2 linked regions of the Struthio camelus genome follow. The protein of the gene in region 2 binds, or shares a complex with, the protein of the main gene of each other region. Links are inferred from orthologs where the notes say so. Each region holds a gene or a part of one and is shown on either strand. Other genes may lie near its edges. The genes, in order: NGFR and RIPK2.

Region 1 (10,288 bases), on a different chromosome or scaffold from region 2:
TTAGGAAGTGTTTGGCAGAGGCAATGTGCCTGGAGCCGGCCGGCAGCAAGCTCTGCTCCCGCTCTGGTGGCGACCGCTGTGATTTGCCTCGCTCCCACCAACCTCGCTTCTATTCTGCAGGTTTTGCTGCCTTAAAAAATACAGGGGGCTCATGGGGAGACGGGGGCCGGATCGGAGACCAACGCGGAGTCGGCCTGGGGAGGGGAAAGTGTCGGAGGCAAAGCTTGGCCACTGACCCGTAGCTGGGGAGCCTTCGGGGAAGGAAGGGAGGAAGAGGGACGTGGCAACGTGCCGTGGGCTGAAGGGGTTTTGCCCAGGCTGCTGCCCCAGAGCTGCCGTGTCTGGGGCTGGGCACGGGTGTCCCGTGGCTTTGGGGAAATGCTGGAAGTAACCCTGACATCTGGGCTGCTCGGGTGGAGGTTGGTGGCCTGGGAAGGCGGCGAGCACGGCGGAGCTGGTGCGTGCCCGGGACTTCTGCTCCCTCGTTGAGACAAAGGGCAAAACAATCTGCCGATCCCGCCCAAGCAACGCTTCCGGGGAAGGCAAGAGGATGCACGCGGGGAGAGCCGAGGCTCTGCTAACGCTCACGACGCCCAAAGCCCCTCCGGCGGAGGGGAGCGCGTGCCGCCCTACTCACTGTCCAGGCAGGGCTCGCAGACGGTCTGGTTCACGCCGCAGGGCTGCACGACGCCTTCGCCCAGGTTGCAGGCTTTGCAGCACTCCCCGCTCGTCGTGTACATCTTGGTGAAGCACTTGTCCTTGGAGGCCCAGGCGGGTCCCTGCCAGAGAAAAGGGAGCCCGGAGGCGACTGTCGTTACGGGGCTTGCCCCTTGCGAGGGCAGGTGGAGAAACGCATCCCGTCCGGGCAGCGGGCGATTCGGGAAACCTGGGTCCCAGCTCAGTGCAGTGATTTTACTGTATGTGGGGACCTGAAATCAGAGCCCCCCCGCAATGGAAGTGACTTTGGAGAGAGCCCCGAGACCCTTAGCGGCGTTGCTGCCTAACGCAAGGCAGCGTATTTGCTTGCAGAGCAGCCTGCTGCCTCATCTGGAAGCAATAAACCCGCCGCAAGCGGTGCGGTCAGGGCAGCTCTGCACATGCACTTTGCAGCTCTGGGAGCGTTCGCGGACCGGCCGGTCCCCAAAACACCTCTTGGCCGGGTCCGCTGGGGCGTGGGAAGCGGGGCTAGGGGCTACCCGAGTCTTTGCCAGGGCTATTTCTTGCTCCCTCGTGCTGCAGCCAGGGCTGCGTTTGTGCAGAAGGAAGGATGGGCAGGAGGGGCAGAAGGTGCTGGGGACGCTGAGCTAAGCCGTCTTTGCAGGAAGAAACGCGAGCTGCCGCCTGCCCGGGGCCGGGAGGCGATGCCGCCTCCCCGCGTCTCCGCTCCCTGGGCCTCCGGCTGCCTTGTCGGCCTCTTGGCCGCCTCCTCGGCCAGCGCCGGTTATGAACTCGGCTCCAGTTATGAACTCGGCTCTGTGCATCATCCGGCCGGAGACAATGGAGCGCCAATTATAGGCATTTGAATGACAAAGTGCTCCAATTACCCTGCGCTTGAAAGCATGTGCTCTGGGCGCTGGTGCTGCTTCGCCGCCCTCCGCGGCGCTGGGCCCTGGCACCGGGGGGGGGGGGCGGGGACCCTCCCTGCACCCCCAGACGACAGCTGGGAAACGGGCTTGCTTCGTGCAGCCGGATGCCTCTCCAGCGGGACAAATCCAGCTCGGCCGGAGCTTGCCCGCGGCACCTCCTGGCAGAGCGCGGGCTGCCGCTCGCCAGTCCCCCCGGCTGGGGCAGGGGTCTGCTGCGGCGTGGGGGGGTCCTGGCAGGCGGCCCGCGCCGGGGTTGGGGGGGGGAGCGGCAGCTGGACCGGGGGAGCTACCGAACGCGCCTCGCTATAAATAGCGCTGGGAAGGAGCGGGCCAGCGCAGCTGGGGCCGACGCGGCCAGCTCTCCCACGCCGCTCCGTGCGGGCTGCCCCGGCGGGGTCTGGCTGCAACGCTTCCTTCCCGGACCCCCCCCCCCGGCCCCAACCCCGGCTCTGCCACCCAGGGATGCCCTGCATCGCGACGCAGGAGCCGCCGCTGCCGCCTGTCCCTGCCCGCCGGCCGCCTCGGCGCCGCTCAGCGGCGTGCAAAAACGTGATATCCCAAACCCCCGGAAAGACCAGGGCGCTTGCAAGAGGGGCGCGGGGGTCCGCGCGCGACCGCTGGCACGTGCGCCTCGTTACCGCAGCGCCTGTTGACAAAGCCGCAGGTATTAACGCCGTAAAGCGTTTTTGACAGCTGGACCGAAAAGGGGTTTTTTTGGGGGGGGGGGGGGGATTGGGGGGGGACGTGCTGAGGGTGAGCACGACGCCTTTGCGGGCTTTTAACCGCTTGCTGAGTGGCGCCGGCCCGTTTTGCTCTCGCGGCAGAGCGGGCCGGCGTGGAGCTGGCCCTGGAGGAAGGGTTCTCGCAGCGCGCCGGTTCGGCGACGCACCATCGCCATCACCGCCGAAACGCTGGCGCGGAAAAGGCGCTGGGGCGGGGGGCCGGCCTCGCCGCCGCGGCTGGAGACGGGCCCAGCTGCAAGCCGGGACGCGAAGCGCCCGCCAGCCTGCCGGGGCGGGGGCCGCCGCGCTTCTTGGCGATGTGCCCCCACCTCCCACCCCCCTTTCTGGCTCCGAGCGATCCCCAAACTTGGGGCAGCGGAGGGAGGAAGCCGCGTCTGAATCCGGCGCGTGCCGCCAAGCCTCGGCGCGGCGGGTCCCGCGGGGCTCGGCCGCCCTCCGAGCGGTGCGGGCCGAGAGCGGAGGCGAGGGGCGGCACGGCTCCCACGGCCGGGTTGTCGGGCCGCTGGCCGCAGCGGTGGCCGCACAGCTGGATCGCGGCCCCCCCCCGGGCAGGAGCCGGAGCAGCAGCCGGGCTCTGCCCGCTCCCTCTCCCGGCTCCCAGGACCGGATGGACTTGGCAGGTCTAAGCCTAGGGGGTCACATCCAGCGCTAAACGCCGGCAAGTGCCCTGGCGACGAGCCGCCGCCGTCCTCTCTCGGCGCTCAGCCGGGACCCCGCGAGGTGGTCGCGGGGGACGCCTACGCCTGGCTGCCCCCCCTCCCCGGGCCGTTGTTCCCCGGGGGCGAAATCGTTTCAATCGATTCCCCAGCACGGTTCCTGCCTCTCCGTCTGCCACCGAGCGGCCTCGGGGACGGGGCGAGCGCGGCCAGCCCCGCTCCTCTCCGCAGCGGTACCCGGCGTCCGCGGGGATGGAGACCCTCCGGAGCGGAGCAAGGAACAGCGCTCTCCATCCAGGTCTCTGCGCCACACTGGCTAAAGCACCAGGTTTAACGCCCCGTCCGAAAGGTGTCCTGCTGCCTAACGAAACCTCGGGGACCCGCACCAAACCGTCCTGCAGCAAAAGCCCTGTGTCTGCCCCAGGCAGGGCCGTAGGTCTGCTCTGCTCCTGGTTTTTCCCCTCTCCTGGGCTCCCCCTTGCCCCGAAGTCTCGGCTCCGGTTGTCGCCCTTGCTGGGGGCTCGCCCCGGGGAAGGGGGCTCTTTCCCACGCTCCGGGGAAGCGGGTTTGGAGCCGGGAAGGGCAAGGCAGGTCTGGGGGAGATGTGCAGACACCGGAGGGTGGGAGATGGGGCTACCAGGGTGGGGATTGCTTTCTCCCCCCGCCGTGCACTGCCCTTTGTATCAGCCTTCCCGGTGGAAAAGGGTGACTGAGCCCCCTGCTCGGGGTAGCGCAAGCCGTGTCTGCCCGGTCCCGCCGCCCCCCCCTGCTCCCTCCCTCGGCACCCAGGGGTGCTCTAGGCGGGTCCCCCGGGACCCGCCGCTCCCGTATCCTCAGGACTCGCCATCCCGGTGCCTCGGGGACCCTCCAGCCTGCGTGTTTGGGAGTCCCCTTGCTCCAGCCCGGTGCCTCGGGGTGCCTCTGCCCGGGCTGCGCAGCCCCCCCCCCCCCGGGGATGCTCCATGGCGGGGCCCCTCCGGGCGCGCCCCGGCACTCACCGCCGGCAGCAGCAGCAGCAGCAGCGGCAGCAGCGGCGGCGGCAGCGGCAGCGGCAGCAGCGGCGGCGGCAGGAGCCCGGCCATGGTCCCCGGGGCGGCGGCGCCGCCTCACATCCCCCCCCCGCCCCGAGCCGAGCAGCGCCTGCCGCGGCCGGGCTGCCTCCCTCTGCCCGCCCGCCGCCCCGGCAGCGGCGAAAAAAGGCCTGCAAGTCCCTCCTCCTCCTCCTCCTCCTCCTCGTCCTCTCCGCCCCCGGAGCATCGCGCCAGCCAGCACCCTGCTGCCGACCCCCGGCAGCCCCCCGCGCCGCGCCCCCGCCGCACCTGCCGCCGCCGCCCGCCTGCCCCCCTGCACCCTCGGCCGCCCGCCCGCCTCGTCCCGCTCCGGCCCCCCGATGGCTGGTCACGTCGCAGCCCGCCGAGATGCTCCGGGGCGCACGGGATGGGGTGACCGGACCTCCTCCAGGCAGGGACAGTGGTCCCGCAGGCGCCCGCTTTGGAGACACCCCCTCGCCCGGGCACCCGAGCTGCTGCCTGGCCCATCGCAGCCCTCGGGGACCGGGTTGGGGGGGGCGACGTCCCCCCCGTGCGCGCCCCAGGGGGACCGTCCGTAAACCCACCCTCGGCACTGACGCAACCGCATCGGTTTCCTTCGCGTCCTGCAAAGCTTCCCGCTTTTATTACAAGGACAACTCTGTCTTGCTTCGGCCTGAGCCTGCAGCGATGGGTTAAACCGCGCTAGCGGGCAGAGAGGGTCGAAAGCGTCGCGGCCTTTCCCCGGCCTCGGTGACGGACCCCGGCCCGGGCAGCTGAGCGCGGTGCTGCCGGTGGGGGGGGGCTCGCCAGAGCGCGCCGGGGCCGGAAGGGCTCTTTCTGGGGGGGTTTTATGGTGGCTTTGATAAAGCAGGTTGGTTTGAAAATGACCCAGCGGACGCTGTCGGGTGCCACTGTGCCCCGAAATGTCCGCTAGGCCGGGCGGCAGCAGCGAAGGTGAGCGGAAACTTCTGCTCCCGGCGTAACCCTCCGCGGCTGCTTCGGCGAACGGTCTCGCCGGCGCTTTTCCTTAAATCCCCCTCGCGCGTTTTTCTGTCCCAAAGAGCTCGCAGCCCTTTCCTGGCTCTGTGCAGTGACGGAGGGGCTCTTAAAGGTCTGCGGTTGCCTCTGCGAATTAAAACCAAAGGCTCAAAGGATTTATTTGCTGGCGGAGCGCAGCTTTGATGTGGCTCGCTCTGGATCGACCCTGCGGCAACGCCGAGCGGGGCCAGAGCCTGCGCCGGCATCGCCCTCCGCTTGCACCCTGCAGCCGGAGCGAGCTGCACGGCCGGCGAGGATGCGCGAGGCCGTGTCGTTGGCCGGCGCGGATGGAGCAGGGTGGAAACGTCGCCGGCAAGAGCTGCTCGGCGAGGCCGGGACGGCCGCGCTCGCGGGTGCCTCCCTCCCCCGGATAAAGGCAGGTTTGACTAGCGAAAGCCCAACTGGTGAAATATCCCATTAAGTCTCGCTCAAGGACAGAGCATCCTTGGAGCAACGAGCTCTCTCGCTCTTCGTCTTTAGGCTCGGCCGGGTCTTCCCCGAGCGCTCGTGAAGGCCAAAGGTGTCCGAGCGAACCCAGGCGAGCTTGTCCCCCGTCGCCCCACGAGGACCCACCGGAGCCCCCAGAAATAGGCTCCGGTTAAACACTCCCCGCTAGTTCCTGCCTGCAAACTTTGTATCGATTTTACTAAAAAGCGTAGGTAATTACTTTCCCGACAAAGACAGTAGCGCGGTAATGGTAAGTTATAAATAACGATGAATAAATAATACATATCGAGACAATCTCATCGCGCTGCCCGGGCCGTTCACAGCCAGGGCTGAGAGCATAAATAAAGGGCTGCAATGAGCAGAGCGCGCAAAAAACCATTGTGAAACGGGCTTTGGTGTCCGGCGAGGCGAGAGGCGTCATCGGTGGGCTGGGACCGCTGGGGAGCGACGGACGGGCCGGGCGGGAGCGCGTCCCTTCGCGGGGAACGGGGAGGAAATCCGGGCTGGGGATAATCCCAGAGGGTGATCTGCCCAAACGCGGGGCTATTGCGGCTGCCTTCAGGCAGGGCTGGAGGATTGCACCTTGCCAGGAACCGTAAGGGTTTTTCTCCAAAGACAGTCTCTGGAGGGTGGAGAGGAATTCATATAAACAAGGCTTTTTTTTTTTTTTTGGTTAAAGAAAATTCACTTTTTCCAATAGGAAATGAGACCTTTTCATTTGAACCATTTTGGCCCGCTTGGGACCCTTGGCGAGAGCCAAGCCCACCGCTGGAGAGCAGGAAGCAATGAGCTGAGGCCAAGGGCTCCCGTGGTATTTGAGCCTCTGATCCTCGTTTAAATCAATGGGATTTAGGCACGTAAAAGCTTTCGAGGATCCAGTCCAAGGTCGACGCGCGCGGAGCGAGGCGCACAGGCGGGCTGCTCGCCTGCGTGCTCTCCTCGGCGTCTCTGCAGCTCCAAAACCGCCCGCTTATTTCCCGTGAGGGGGCCGACGGGGAGCGCGGGGAAGAACGGCTCCGTCTCAAACTGCGATCTAGAAACGGCCGAACGCCTTCCCCGGCAAAACCGCAGCCAACGCACGCGGCTCCGGGCTCGGAGCTATTTTACCATGGCAAAACTGCTCCCTTGGTTTAGAAAGCTGGGGAGGGATTGCTGATAACCCCCCCACACCCCTTTCCCCTTCCTGGAGCGTTGCAAGGACTCACTAATACCGGTGTGTCCGGGGAAGAGCCGCGAGAGCCGGGTCTCCGACTCGGAGGTGCCCTCGCGGCTCCCGCATCCTGCCTCCAAATCAGTGCAAGGCACTCGCCCAGGGCACGGCGGCCCCGGCGCAAGGCCCCGTCCCTCCTGCCGCCGTCCTGCCCGGCACTGGGACCCCGCGGGGCGGCCGGGCTGGTGCGGGGCCACCTCGGTGCCTGGGCACCCCTCTGCAGGGCTGCGAGGTTGGCTGTAGCCCCCGGGTAGCCTGGAGCAGCTGGATGCTGGCCCGAAATCGCCCCGGTGGGGAGGATCTCGGGTCGAGGGTGTTCGGCTTCGGGCTCGTGAGGCTGCAGCACCCTAAACCCGTCGCTCTGAGGTAGAAGGGATATAACATTCCCCAACTCCCCAAAAACCTGATTTCCATTAATATCAAAGTGTTCCAATCTGGTTTTTATTACACCCCTTGATATCCATTCCTATAATTTCTCCTAATGCTTCTTTCTAATCCTCCAGCCTCTTTTTCCCTTGTTAATCTCCTGCTTTCAGGTTGCCCATCCTCCCTTTGTTCCTTTTTTTCCTTCTTTAACTGTTCTTTCAGTGCAATCCATCACCCTGAAGAGCAGCGGGGGGTATTCATGGTAATGTGTGAAATGAATCTTTGGTTCCTTATAAGGAATGACCGAAGCAATCTCCTGAGAGCAGAGACCACAGTGTCCAGGAAACTCAATCCCTTCTCGGGATGGAGCGATGGTAAAATAGTGAGACAGTAAAAACAGACCGTGATTTCCCTCCATCTCCCTCCCCGAGAAACGAGACTTTGCAAAATTTAAAATGAGAGACTGCATTCAGAGCCAGGCAAGGGGCAGAAAAAAAGTCACTCCTGGTGACACGTATAATAAAGGACATAAATATGTCCACAGCAGCAAGAGTATCAATATTTTTCTGGTTAAGGTATTGATTGGTTCCACATGTCAGGGGCAGGGCTGGCTTTCTTCTCACCAGCCCAGCTTTTGGGAACCCATTGATTCAGTTTTGTTGCTGATGGATCAAGAATTTTGCTGTTGGGAGGAAATGAATGTCAAACCCTTGGCTGCGTCGATAAGGACGGAGCAAGGCAGGCGGCGCAGCCTGGGCAGCAGGACTCAGCGGGAGGTTTTTCCTGGCTCTCTCAGCTGTTTCTTTTTTTTTTTTTCTCCCTCCCTGCAAAAAATAGGCATTAATTTTAATGACTCGATGCTTACTCTGTTATGGGATGTTTTTTTCAGCTGTTTTTTTCAGACTGCATGTTGCCCAGGCAAGGTCCAGGGGCGTTTTGCCTCTTCCCCCCAACTCCTGGCATCTGCCCCACACCAAGTGGGGTCTGTGTTGGCGGACGTATTAGCAATACAGCTTGCAACTTCACCGTGCCTCAGTTTCCCCATGCATCCCTGCCGAGCTCAGAGCTAGCTGGAAAGGGGAGCTGCTGTTTTGCTGCGTGCATAGAGCTATTGGGGCTCTTTCCAGGACCGCTCGGTTAAAGCCCCTGCGGACGGGCGTTTCGTCTCCACCTTTGAGCAGCATCCTGCACCATCGCGCTGCAACTTCCTCCAAGCCTTTCATAAACCTGATCAGATTAGAGCTTTATAACGAACCCAGACCTCTCCTGATGCCAGCCAAAGCCCGGCCGCGGGGGCTGAACATCCCGGCTGGCGGCTGAGTGCTTTCCAGCAGGACGAACCGTTTGCCAATTAGCTCTGTCTCTGCATATTTCATTAGCCACCAGGCTTGCACCAAACCCGCCGGTGCCTTGGAGCTAGAGGGCTGCGTCCGCCAGCCCCAGGAGAGAGAAAACTGAGCGCAGCAGTGCCTGGGAAAGGCTCTTTTTTCATTTTATGCTCCAAATTGCAGCTCTTAGGACAGCACGTTTCCTCCCGGGCAGGCCCTGGTCGAAGGGTCCCGGGAAGGGCACGTTGCTGCTCTCCAGCCTGGGCCACCCAGGGCTGGGTAGCAGCGTCGGCTTTTCCATATGGATGTAATTACACTGCTAGAGCCCCGGTATGGATGCCTACAGCCCAGGAGAGCGCAAAGCTGCTCCAGAGCCTCCCGGCATCTGTCGGTCCCGCAAGCTGAAGCCCTGCAACGTGGTGGTGGTTGTCCGGCTGTCACTGGTGCAGGCAAACCCGGCGAGAGGAACCTTAACGATAACCGCTTGTTCTCCTTCTAACGCAACAATGCAATCCGCCACATTGAAAGGCGAAAGCTTCGTATCGTCTCCTGCAGTTTTGATTACAATTCAAAGTATTTTGGAGCACTTAGCGGGGGAAAAAGAGCGTGAGCGAGTTTGGCTTCTTGGAATAATGACGGTGTCGGGGATGTCAGCTAACGCGGGTGTGTCGTGCGACTCCCGGGGACACCACGGGGGATGCAGCGGGGCCGGCGCGGAGCTGGCAGCGGGGCGGTGGGTTTGCCGCCGAGACGCCGCGGCTCGGTGCCCCGGCGCGGCCGCCGTGCGCGGTGGGGAGGTTTCGCTTGCACAGTCTGAATTCGGCTCCCTGACACCGATGCCAAGGAGGGTGAAAGCTAAGGCAAGGAGGGAGCGGGAGCAAAGAAGTCCAGGCTGACGCTGGGCGATAATGTCCCTATGGCAACTGCTTTCAGCAGGCCCCGGCTGCAGCATCCTCCTCCTTGCAGCCGCTTTTGTGTGCGTCTGAGCACAAAGCGGAGGCACGAAACCTCCCAGCCTGGCCCAGGGCAGGAGCAGATCACAGGCTGTTTTCCACCGCGGCGCTGCAAGGAGAGGAGGCCAATGGGGGGTTTTCTGCTTGGAAAGCTGGGCTGGGATGTCCAGCGGTGCAAGCGACCCCGTTCCAGCCTCACACGCTGCTCGGGACACGCTGGACCCATGTGTTCTCCAAATGCTTTGTTCCAGCTTTCCTCCAACCCCCCAGGAGACTGGCTTGAGGGCCAACCTGGAGTTTAAGCCCTTGTGTCCCTGCAGACCCCCCTCCTCTTGTCTTTTTCCCCAAATTGTCCACTTTCAAGGATGCTGGGGGCCTCCGTAGCCTCATCCCAATGATGCTCAGGCAAGTCGGGGAGGGGGTTGGAGGGAAGGATCCCAACAGGGTTTGAGCCCAGCTGGCTTCACTTAAGGGCTTTTAAGGTGGGTAGAAGAAGGGAGCTGGTCGTTTGGGTGGTGGGTGGGGGCATCACACCTGGCATAAAAGAAGGGAGGCAGATGCTTCTTTTTTTCCCCTCTTGCCCTTGCTGCCATGCAGGGTGGGAGTCTTGTGCTGGCTGCTCCCACGGTGGAAGGAGGTGAGAGCAGCCCGGGCCCATGCGCAGCACCGCTGGCCACTCTCGTGCCGTGGCCTTGTCGCGTCTGGCCGCAATTTAGCCTAGAGCAACCCCTGGGGCTTCATTCAGAGTGGTAACAGGCAAAAATTCCCCCGATCACAGCCAAGCTTTCTCAGTGTTATCAGGATGGTATCCCTGCCTTAGCTTTCCAGAAAAGCTGCATGATTCTCAATACACCCTCTTGAAAGTGCTGGAGGTTGGAGCCTCAGAGATGTGCTGGGTCCTTCTCTGGGCTCAGCTGGATGCATTAACCA
Region 2 (10,599 bases):
AAGTTGTATGAGATATATAAAACAGGTAAGTACATAAGAAGTCCATGTTCTGTCATCATGCTTTTATCACTTCATATGCTCATGTACATAGTTTTATCTAAGTGATATAGATTAGTGTATTTAAGATTAGCATTCTCTTGTCCTCAGGTTAGTCACAGGCAATACATTTTGATAACAGATATTAAATATTATATGTTGATAGAAAATTGCATTAATGACCCTGAACAAGTGTCCAATTATCTTTATATGACATAATCACCTTTGCTATTTGATTTTAATTGCTTGCCGTTAGCTTTTTTACTGCTCTGCTAAAAAGATGGCAGCTTGCTATCCATTTCCCCCCAGAATTCTGTGGGCAAGAATATACTTCTATTTTTGCTGGGCCTGGCATTTTAAAGCCTGCCATAAAAGCTATGCCACTTGCAAAATATCTGTAAATACCACAAAAATTAAAGTCGTTTAAAAAACAGGGGAATGTGAAGATATAGTCAAAGAAAGGCTGCGTCCATCAGGCAGGACAGGTGGTGAGCACCACAGTCCTGATGCCACTCTTTGGTGAGAGCTATTGGTAGATCTGCTTTCTGAATATTGCATCACTCTGTATGGAAGCGAGCACATAGGAAGCTGAGGGAAGTGAAGAGGGAGACTATGATGCACCTGTAAAATCTGTGCTCCTGTGAAATCTCTTCCCAGATTTTTTCCAGTTAGCTCCAGTGAGGTGATACATCCAGATAGAGCAGCTGGGAAATACTTATTGCTCCCAAAACACAGTCATAGCCTAAGTAGTTGACACAGTCTTCCAGTTTTGATAGTCTTCTGCCTACTGAGATCAAAGAGGAGCATTCAAGTGTCTCCTTTGCTCTTCATTGTAACTCCTGCTGTTACATTAAGTGTTATCAAGCCACAGTCTATGTAACAGACAAACAAACAAGGACAAAGGACCCGAGCCACGCAGTCAGTGTATACTACATTTTGGCAACTGGGTACAAAACAGAAAGATACCCTTTCTAAAGAACACGAAACAAAGAGAAACTACATTAAAAAGTAAGTATTTGGAAACATGACCCAGATTAATTTAGGGAAAAAATTACTGCTCTTGGGGCAGGAGTAAAGAAGTTGTAGAGATTACATCATAAAACCATAGCTTTTCAAAATCAGAGCATCTTGCCTTGACAAAAAAAACAAAACGTTCACCTACCTGTGCTGTTGTGGAAAGGCAGTTAACCTGGCGAATTTTAAAAACACAACTGAAATTTTGTGTGACACCCATAGAAATGAACGTACTAAAATTCGGCTGGATGGAGGGACAAGACTGCAAAAAATTACTTCAGAAACATGAGTTTATCAGTAAAGACATGCATGCAGTATGTACGCTCATCCTTACATATCTGTATAAATAGGGGAGCTGTGTATTTCAGGCCTATCTTGCAAATGGCAACAACCAGTTCCATAGCTGCATGCTCCTCAGAAAAACAAACACATAAACATTTCTGTATTTTATAGCCTCTTCTCAATATCTCTGTGAATATATCTACAGCAGAAATCTAACAGGTCTTTCCAGTTTATGCTGTCCATAGAGAAGAATGTCAGGAAAGAGATTGCACCTCAGTCTGGAAAACATGAGGAATTTTAATTATCATTTTGTTATCTTTTATACAGAGATACAAGGTGTGAAAAGCATTTTACAAGTCCACAGGTACTGAAACACAGTAGCTGCACTCCTTGATTTCACAACCTGTAAACTAAGCTCATCAATGTAACTGTTGTGCTTTCAAAATCAGTTTTGCCAAATACTTCCTAAATTCAAGAGAGAGCGATTTTTTTTCATTCATTGCACTAACAATCAAGGCATGAGGAACATCACAAAAAATGTACTGTTGCTCAGGGTCTTCACTTATCTCATTTATATGTGGACCTTCAGAAATTCCTATGTGAAGGGAAGAATCAGACCAAAGACTTCTCAATCAGAATGAAAAGGTCAATGGGGGAGTACTCATGGAGGATATGAGCAAGTGAAAAGTTGAAAGAAGAAACAACAAGTCAGCTGTTTATCTGCTACACAGTCCAAGCTTTAGTTTTATCAAAAGCTTAATTTACCTTGAGGATGCCCAAATGAGTAGGGATTCTGCCTACAGCCATATGTGAAGGACCTTGAACCTTCTCTTTTAGTACTAAGGAGTACTTTTTATTATTATGTCCATTAGAGAACAAGCAATGTCAAAGGTACAGTGTGTTGTACCAGGTCATTTATCACCTGATACAGTCAGACAGATGACATATTATAGATTACATCACCTATTCATTCAAATGTGGCAGACTAAATTAGGCAAATAAAGAAGTATTGCATAAAAAACATTAAAAGGTGATTAACAGATTAGCAGTTGTTTTTATTAGTATTCTATGCATCTTCTCTATTGCCAACTGCACATTTTCAAATCACAGTTTAATAGACCTGTTTTGCTAAAGGTCTTTGCAATAACAAGCAAAGCTGTCCTGATTTGGTCTGACAGGCAGCCCCAGGAACAGGAAGAAAAATAAATCTACTTGTACATCCCGCTCCTCATGCTCAGGCTCTGGGACCTAGATTCTGACTTTCTGATTTGTGTTCTTTCTTTATGTCAGGATTACTCAGATATAAATAATCAAGTTAATTTGACCGACCAGAAAGTCTGCTTGCTCACTGCTTTAGAACTTCCTACAGATTTAGGGAGTCTCCTCAGTGAGACTCCAAAAAACTGAAGTGGAAAATGACAATGCTTTGAGATTTAAATACGCTCAAGCTTCTTCTAGAAGAGCACTGTATCCCAATAAATACATTGCACAGGAAAGCACAAACTAGTACAGCCACAAGCAGCTTGACTAGACACTATCTCTAGCAGCGTCTGGCCCATACATCTGATCTGATCACCCTTCTCTTCTTGTAACAATCACACATTTGGGAAGTCCACCACATATTCTTCACTGACAAGAGTTATACTTCCTGTAGGAATGAAGTTTGAGGTGGCACCACTGTTGCATAAACAGATATGGGGAGTTTAACATGCGAGTGCGTAATTTCCTCAGTCCTCATTGTACTGAAGAAGTAGAAACTAATCTGAGCCTGCCATTTAGTTACTGACTACCCTTAAACCCCTTACTGATTTTTCTGGCACGTTGCTTTGCACTTATTACAGAAAGGGATCCTGCTTACTTTTAGAGACACCAAAGCGGTTTTAGGCAAAATCAGGAAGTCTGGGAACATTAAAGTTTAGATGTTTTGTATGTGATAAATAGCTGAAATAAGTCTTGTAGTAATGCAGAAAAACAGTTATGAAAGGTTTTTTCTCACAAAATAATTAAAAATGAGTGATTATAAAGAAAATCAACTACACATACTATGAGCGTAACACAAGCCTTTCAGCTATGAAGCTATGAACCAATTCACAGTTGGGAACAGAGTCAACAGGTATTGTTACACGGCCTTCCTGTATGCCACTACAGTGTGTAAACAGACTTGACTTAAAACCTTAATTATGCAGTTACTCTAAAAATCAGAATATCAAATATAATACTTTAATTGACAGTGTGTTATCTTTGACTTTTACAACCTTAACAGTTTCAGCAGAATCTCAAAGGAATATTTTAAAGCTTTGATCTGCACTGAAATTATTTTGTATTTTAGCAGCACAATTTATGCCACACACCTAGAACTATGAAACCTTAAACCAGCTATGATACCATTTAAGTTATCTGGCAGAATACCTTTCAAAATACTAAAGAAAAAAAGGGGGTTTCCAGATGCAGTAACATTTTGTTCTAATTTTCCCTTTCTAACCCCTCTTTGTCTTGGGAATTTCAAGCACCAGCTTATCTTTCCCGGAACTTGTGAGCCAGTGCGGCAGCAAAACATGCAGCTCCCCACCGTGCTATGGTGACGGAGCTCAAATCAAATGCAGAGTTCCTCTTCCCTTTCCAACCTCACGAGTAAGTCCATGTCTTCAAACTCTGGCATAATTCCTAAAGATCCAAAGCAGCAACTAACTACTTATGCCTGTTACTCGTCCTGTTTTCCTTTACTTTGATGAAAATGAAGTCAATTCTGCTTCCACTCCAGTAGCAGAAACTGATCCACTGTTGTATGAAAACAATGTCATACAGCTTGAGTTGATCCAAAACCCGTTGTTGTCAATAGAAATGGGCAGGATCTTTCAAAATAGTGGAAGACATATAAAACCTCCAAGTCACAAAAACTCTCCACATTTTATAATAAAACAAATAAGTTAAAAAGATTACAGTAATATTTTTGGCACTATTACTGCTCTGCCACTTTTAAAATCACAAACCTTTTCTTTTTTTTAGTAATTTAAAATTATAAATAAACAGGAAATCAGCAAAAACATGTGGCAGCAAGATGTGCAATTAACTTTCTGTACAGTGTCTTACAATTTTCAGTACAGGGACCTTTATAAGCCCTTAATGGGATATACCATAAATATGTCTTTACACAGTGTTTCTGTAGTACGTGCTTACCTTTGGTGTCCACCGCATCTTATTTTCTTTAGGTAAGAAAAACTTTCTTATACAACAAAGTTGAAGCAGGGTAACAAGTAACAGTACTCACATGCTAGATGGAGGGAGAGGCATATACATCGAATGGATGTGTAAACCTTGTGTGCCATAATGCCTAGAGATTACTCTGCGGCGAAACCACCTAGTGTATTTGAAGGATAGAGACTGAAATGAAAGCTGAGCGCAGAATAATTCTAGACTTCTTTATATGACTAATATAATGTTACCACTGTTGCAGCATGGGATACATATCCTCCAAAATACAAGAAAACTGGGGAAAGACAGCATAGATTTGCCACTACCTGAAGTAAAGAGGCTGGGACCGAGACGGAGGACCAGAAAAAAAAAACTGTTAGGCCTTAAAACGCCGTTGACGTATTGCACAACGCCACAGGCTGAAAATCTGGCTTCTCTCCCTCGTCCTCCGCTCCCTACCCGCTCCTGGGAGAGGAGAGGGGGGGAAACGGCCTCCAGGCGGCCCGAGGGGAGAGCTGAGGCCCGCGCCCCGCGCCCCCCGCTCCGGCCTCGGCTCGGAGGCGCCTCGCCGCGCCGCCAGGCCGGGGCTCGGCTCGGGGAGGCGCAGGGCCTCGGCACACCTCCTGCGCGGCCCCCGAGCCCAGCTATCGGCTCGCCGGGCGCATCGGCCCGGGCGCCGCCGGGCTGCCCGTTTCCTCCTTCTGGAAAACTCTCGGAATGCTCTTCTGCGGGCGGAGGGCGCTACCCTCCGACACCCGGCGCGGGGCGCCCCCGCAGGGGCGGCGCGACCTGCCCGCCCTCCTCCTCTATCGGAAAAAGTGAGGAGACACCGGGAAGTGCACGAATGAGCGGCGGCGGCGCGGGGGGCGCCGCGCACCTCCCTCCGGCCGCGGCAGGAGCCCTCTCGCCGCCCCCTCCGGGCAGCCGGGAGCCGGGCCGGGCCGGGCCGCTCTGGCTGCGGCGGGGCGGGGCGGGGCGGGGCGGACGGCGAGGACCTGGCCCCGGCCCCGGCCCCAGCCCCAGCCCCGGTCCCGGCCTCGGCGCCGGGCGCGGCGGGGTGTTGCGTCGCGCCGCGTCAGGTCGGGTCGGGTCGGGTCGGGTCGGGTCGGGTGGCGCCTCCCCCGCGGGGCCGTGGAGTCGCGCCTCCCGCGGCGCAGTGCGAGGATGAGCGGCGGGGAGGGTGGCGGCCAGGCGGGCGCCATCAGCTGCGCCCTGCCCTCCATCCCCTCCAACAAGCTGCCGGACCTGCGCTTCCTCAGCCGCGGCGCCTACGGCACCGTCTCCGCCGCTCGCCACGCCGACTGGCGGGTCCCGGTGGCCCTCAAGAGCCTGCAGGGGCCGCTGCTCGAGAGGTACCGGCGGGGGCAGGGGCCGCGGCCCCGCGTCGGCTGCTGCGAAGCGGTGGCGTTGTCCACCCGCCCACCCGTGGGCGAGCCGGGGAGGGGAGGGCCCGTGTGGCGGAGCTCTGCGAGCCGGGGGGGGCCGTGTGGCGGAGCTTCGCGAGCCGTGGCGGAGCCGGGGGGGGGCCGTGTGGCGGAGCGAGTTCCGCGAGCTGTGGCAGAGCCGGGGTGGGGGGGGTCCGTGTGGCGGAGCGAGCTCCGCGAGCCGTGGCGGAGCCGGGGTGGGGGGGGTCCGTGTGGCGGAGCGAGCTCCGCGAGCCGTGGCGGAGCCGGGGGGCGGGGGGGTCCGTGTGGCGGAGCTCCGCGGAGCCGGGGGGGGGGGTCCGTGTGGCGGAGCGAGCTCCGCGAGCCGTGGCGGAGCCGGGGGGCGGGGGGGTCCGTGTGGCGGAGCGAGCTCCGCGAGCCGTGGCGGGGGCGGGGGGGTCCGTGTGGCGGAGCGAGCTCCGCGAGCCGTGGTGGAGCCGGGGTGGGGGGGTCCGTGTGGCGGAGCTCCGCGGAGCCGGGGGGGGGGGTCCGTGTGGCGGAGCGAGCTCCGCGAGCCGTGGCGGAGCCGGGGGGCGGGGGGGTCCGTGTGGCGGAGCGAGCTCCGCGAGCCGTGGCGGAGCCGGGGGGCGGGGGGGTCCGTGTGGCGGAGCTCCGCGAGCCGTGGTGGAGCCGGGGTGGGGGGGTCCGTGTGGCGGAGCGAGCTCCGCGAGCCGTGGCGGAGCCCGGGGGGGGGTATAGAGTATATGGAATATGTAGTGTAGTGCATAGAATATATTACTGTGTGCGCTGCCGAGTGCAGGGACCCAGGATAAGCTTCTCCAAGACAAAACATAATAGATTTTTGCCCCAGATCGCAGGTACTGAGACAAGCTGGTTGGGAATGGTAGGTGTGTAGGGCTCTTGCCTACAGGTGATATCTCCCTTAAGCTCTGCAGCTCAGCCGTCGTGTTCCCCGCTCTTCTGGGCACCAGGTTGTAGCCTGTTTGCCGCAGGAGTTGTCGTCCTAAATAAGGATGCAGCAGGCTGTAGTTTTCTTCCACCTCTGCCTCCTTCACTCTCTACAGTGCCTCTTTTTTAACCAGGTCGATGCCAGTTCATCTTAGGCTGTTGAAGACTATAAACTTGCCCCTTTTTTTCTTATCTAGGTGACTTTCGCCTCCATGAACTCATTTCTTTGGATCTAGTGTTAGGTGTTCAGGCAGAATAACTTCACTGAAGTACAGATAGCCATGTCTATGTGTGCGTTTGTGTGTGTATGTGTACACCAGAGGGACAGGGGGGTGCATATACCTGCGTGTGTGTATATACATGCATGTAAAAACTTTTCAACTTTCCTCAATGTTTTTTCTTTATATTAAATTATCTGCTTCAATCCCCGCTTATCCTGAATATAGCGCTTCTCCTTTCAAATTGATTGGGAAAGAACAGTCAATAGTATTTCTAGCCTTGCCAGAATTTAGATCAGTGTGACATGAAATCCAGGAAGTTTTGACAAAGGGGGAAACTGAGGCAGTCAGAACAACTCAGCCCTCAGCCGTGGATCATGCAGAGCTCGGAAATGCTACGAGAATAACCTAAAGCTGTAAGAAATGCTGCGCCTGAGTTTTTGTGACAAGAAAATTGTCAGTGGTGTTGTAGGTAGCGTAAGAGTTTGGTCTGTAAGTGCTGTCAGGAAAAGGGAAGTTCACAGTGCAGTTAACTCCCCAAACAGGAAGCCTGCGCTGTGCATCCCAGAATTTGGTCTGTGCGACCTGCTGAGCAGCAGAGCCTGTTTGGAAGCTGTTGTGGGCTTGCACTAGCTTTGGCATTACTCAATGCTCTTCCGCTATGGAGCGGAGAAAGGTGAACTAATTTATAGATCCAGGAACAACCCTCGGTATGTTGCAACTTGTTTCCCAGTTACAGCAGAATCTCATGCAGATCTGCCTCATAGCCTGGGAAAACCCCTACTTTCTCTAAGCTAGTGTTTTTTGGAAGGAGAGAGTTACATCCCTGGCTTTCCTTGAGGCCTGCCTTTTCCCTCAGATCATTTTCTAGAGTTTCCTGTAACAGGAGGGTTTTTTTTTTTCTCCATCATGAAGATGTTTTGCTTTCTATTTCCTACATATTGAAAGCAATTTCACATACCTCTAAATTTTAAATTCTTCTGTCATAAAAGCAGCAAGCTTTAGTTTTCTAGGCTTCCTTTTTTCCCCCATGTACTCTGAAGGCCTTCTGATTGTGAGGGCTAGGTCTGCACTGACGGGTCCAGACAGACTTGAACTCTTCTGTCGATCCAGCGCAGGGCACAGACTAAAGCCAGCTCTCATCTGGGAGCGGTATGGCCGTATTAATATGGCAGTGCACTGAGCAAATCTTGATCGGCGTTGACTGTTAGCCTGTGTGCAGCCCTGCACACCTGATGGCTTCTGAATCAGGCTGCCTGGTCAGTCTTAGATGGGCTGCAATAGTCCAGCATTTGGATATCCCAGTCATGCACTTGTATCTGTACCAGGCTCCACTGATGTAAAAGCTAAATCTTTTTTTCTTAGAATTATCTTTCTTAGTCCGAGTATCCTCAGTATTAATAACCTGTTTGTTCAAGAACTTTTGAGACATAAAACGTGTCAAAAAATTGTCTTCGTTATTCTTAGGAACAGAAGTGTACTCTTACTTTGTTTTAAATAAAATTTCAGCTGCTTATATTCGTATGCAGCAAGGTATACTTACATGTTTGTAAAGATGCCTCAAGTTCACGTTTATGAGGAGGCTTGGCCTTAGCAAAGAATATTCACACCACCGAATTCAGGTGGTCAGGTGTCAGGTCAGCTTCGCTGTGCTCCCTGTATAATCAGAGAGCACTTTCTCCAGAGGCCAATTCAAACAGGGCCCAGTCTAAGAGAAGAGTTTATGTGATGACAAAGCATACTTGATCATTACTTTTCCTTCAGAAACTGAAATTGTACTCCTTTAACCGACATTATTTTAGTGCACAGCAGTGCTGACTGAGTTAAAACAATTGGAGACCTGTGAGCAAAGTGTTAAATTCTCCATTTTACAGTAGACAAATAGTGGTCGTCCTTGAAAACTCAATATTTGAAGATGGGCAGTAAAATAGGATAAATATAGTTAGATATTACTGTCATTATGGTTAGACAGGATGGTAGAAGTTGGAGTTCTCGTTATGTCCTCATTTACTGGAAACACGGAGGAAATGTGTTGTGTGGTACAACAAAACTAGAGAAGCTATCTTGTGCTTGCATTTGTAGATTCTAATTTGTCTTTCCGTATTTTGTTATAGAAACTGCGTAGTAGGAAATAAATTGTGAAAGATGGTGCTACTGCATATAGGAACACAATTATATAAAGTGAATTGAATGAACCTTACCTTTGCAGTATTAGTACAGTAACCCCTTTTTTCCTTTTTCTTTAAGTGATAGAAACCACCTTCTGAAAGAAGCAGAGATATTACACAAAGCCAGGTTTAGTTACATTCTGCCAATTTTAGGAATTTGCAATGAGCCTGAATTTCTGGGGATAGTAACAGAGTACATGACAAATGGATCATTAAACCAGCTTTTACATGGGGTAAGTCTGCTTGAAGCTCTTCAATACAATCCCTGGTTGGTTCAAATATACTGTGATATCCATTCTAAAGGGAAGTGGTGTAGTAAAATTTAATATTAATAATATTTCAAGTTAAAGAACAGCCAGCATTGGTACTGGTTTTCATTGCTCAGACTTTCTTCTCCCTAAAAAGACAGCTGAAGTCAGTAGACTTCAGTTTTAATACGCTCTTTCCTTTAATACTCTGCTCTGTAACTCGCTTAATGACGAATTATTATATATAGTCACTTAAAAAAATCTCTGAGGTTCTCTAGTTAGAAGCAGAAGTAGTTACGCTCACTTCGGTCTGTGTTTCAGAAATGTTGGCAGTGTAAATATCACAAAAAGATGGATTTATCTCCTTAAGATGACCTTTTTTAAAAAAATTGAATATTTTGACTCTATATTTGCGAATATTGCAAATCTAAGCAGATACGGATATTTCTGTTGGGCCTTACTTTCAAGCGTAGGTCAGCTTGTGCTGAGCTCTCAGCTGCTTCCGCTAGCTTGATCTGAGCATCCCATGTTCTAGTTTAAAGCTACTGCAGTTGTCTCCACAGCACTGTACCTCTTCTGTACCTTTAATCGGTACATACCTCATGCCTTAGAGAAGTCAACTGTGTATTTTTCGTAAAGGCATTAGTCTCGGTGTAACTTTAATATTTCAGTGGAAAATTCCTGCAATATTTGTTGGTGTACTTATATTTTCAAAGGTGGCATTTTATGATTAGTTTCACAGTATCTGGAAAAGGCACAGAAGTAAACTCAAAAAATTTCAGTTGAGTTTTGCCTGTACACTGACATGCAGAATGACTTTGACCTGGCATGTCCGTTCCTTCCCTCCCCCACCATGTCAACTGAAGATACGATTCTTGCTTTCCTTTGAATAATACTTATAGTCTGTGGGTTACAAGTGTCATGTAGGAGTTCATCTGTCAATCTTATTTCCATATGAGTAGCATGGTAAATGTGCTATTAACACATTATGTATAGCAGTCATGAGCTATTACATGAATGACAGGCAATGGGAATGTAACTTTGCATGATTGAGAATCATACTTTTGTTTTAACAGCTGATCAATTTCAATGCTCAGTTATACTTTTG

The links.
Region 1: the proteins of RIPK2 (region 2) and NGFR are in contact, whole or in part, in an NMR structure (PDB 2N83), measured with the Homo sapiens proteins. The link is inferred for Struthio camelus from reciprocal best matches to the Homo sapiens genes RIPK2 and NGFR. Residues at the interface, in NP_003812.1 of Homo sapiens: Gln437, Ser465, Arg466, Asp467, Leu468, Met470, Glu472, Asp495, Ile496, Gln497, Gly498, Glu499, Glu500, Lys503, Ile523, Leu524, Val526, Ser527, Arg528, Ser529, Pro530, Ser531, Leu532, Asn533, Leu534, Gln536; in NP_002498.1 of Homo sapiens: Gly334, Leu335, Ser338, Leu339, Pro340, Lys343, Val347, Ser354, Ala355, Asp357, Arg360, His361, Gly364, Glu365, Tyr368, Pro370, Ile373, Asp374, Leu398, Asp399, Leu401, Leu402, Arg406, Arg407, Ile408, Gln409, Arg410, Ala411, Asp412, Val414.

Annotation. Positions count from the first base shown.
Region 1 is NC_090966.1:5,125,361-5,135,648, forward strand, and holds the start of NGFR (tumor necrosis factor receptor superfamily member 16), read right to left. Parts: upstream 4,129-10,288; 5' UTR 4,068-4,128; coding exon 3,984-4,067; intron 780-3,983; coding exon 638-779; intron 1-637. UniProt on the Homo sapiens protein: Low affinity receptor which can bind to NGF, BDNF, NTF3, and NTF4. Forms a heterodimeric receptor with SORCS2 that binds the precursor forms of NGF, BDNF and NTF3 with high affinity, and has much lower affinity for mature NGF and BDNF.
Region 2 is NC_090943.1:151,162,865-151,173,463, reverse strand, and holds the start of RIPK2 (receptor-interacting serine/threonine-protein kinase 2), read left to right. Parts: upstream 1-5,579; 5' UTR 5,580-5,688; coding exon 5,689-5,876; intron 5,877-7,351; exon of another isoform or gene 7,352-7,491; intron 7,492-9,322; coding exon 9,323-9,476; intron 9,477-10,599.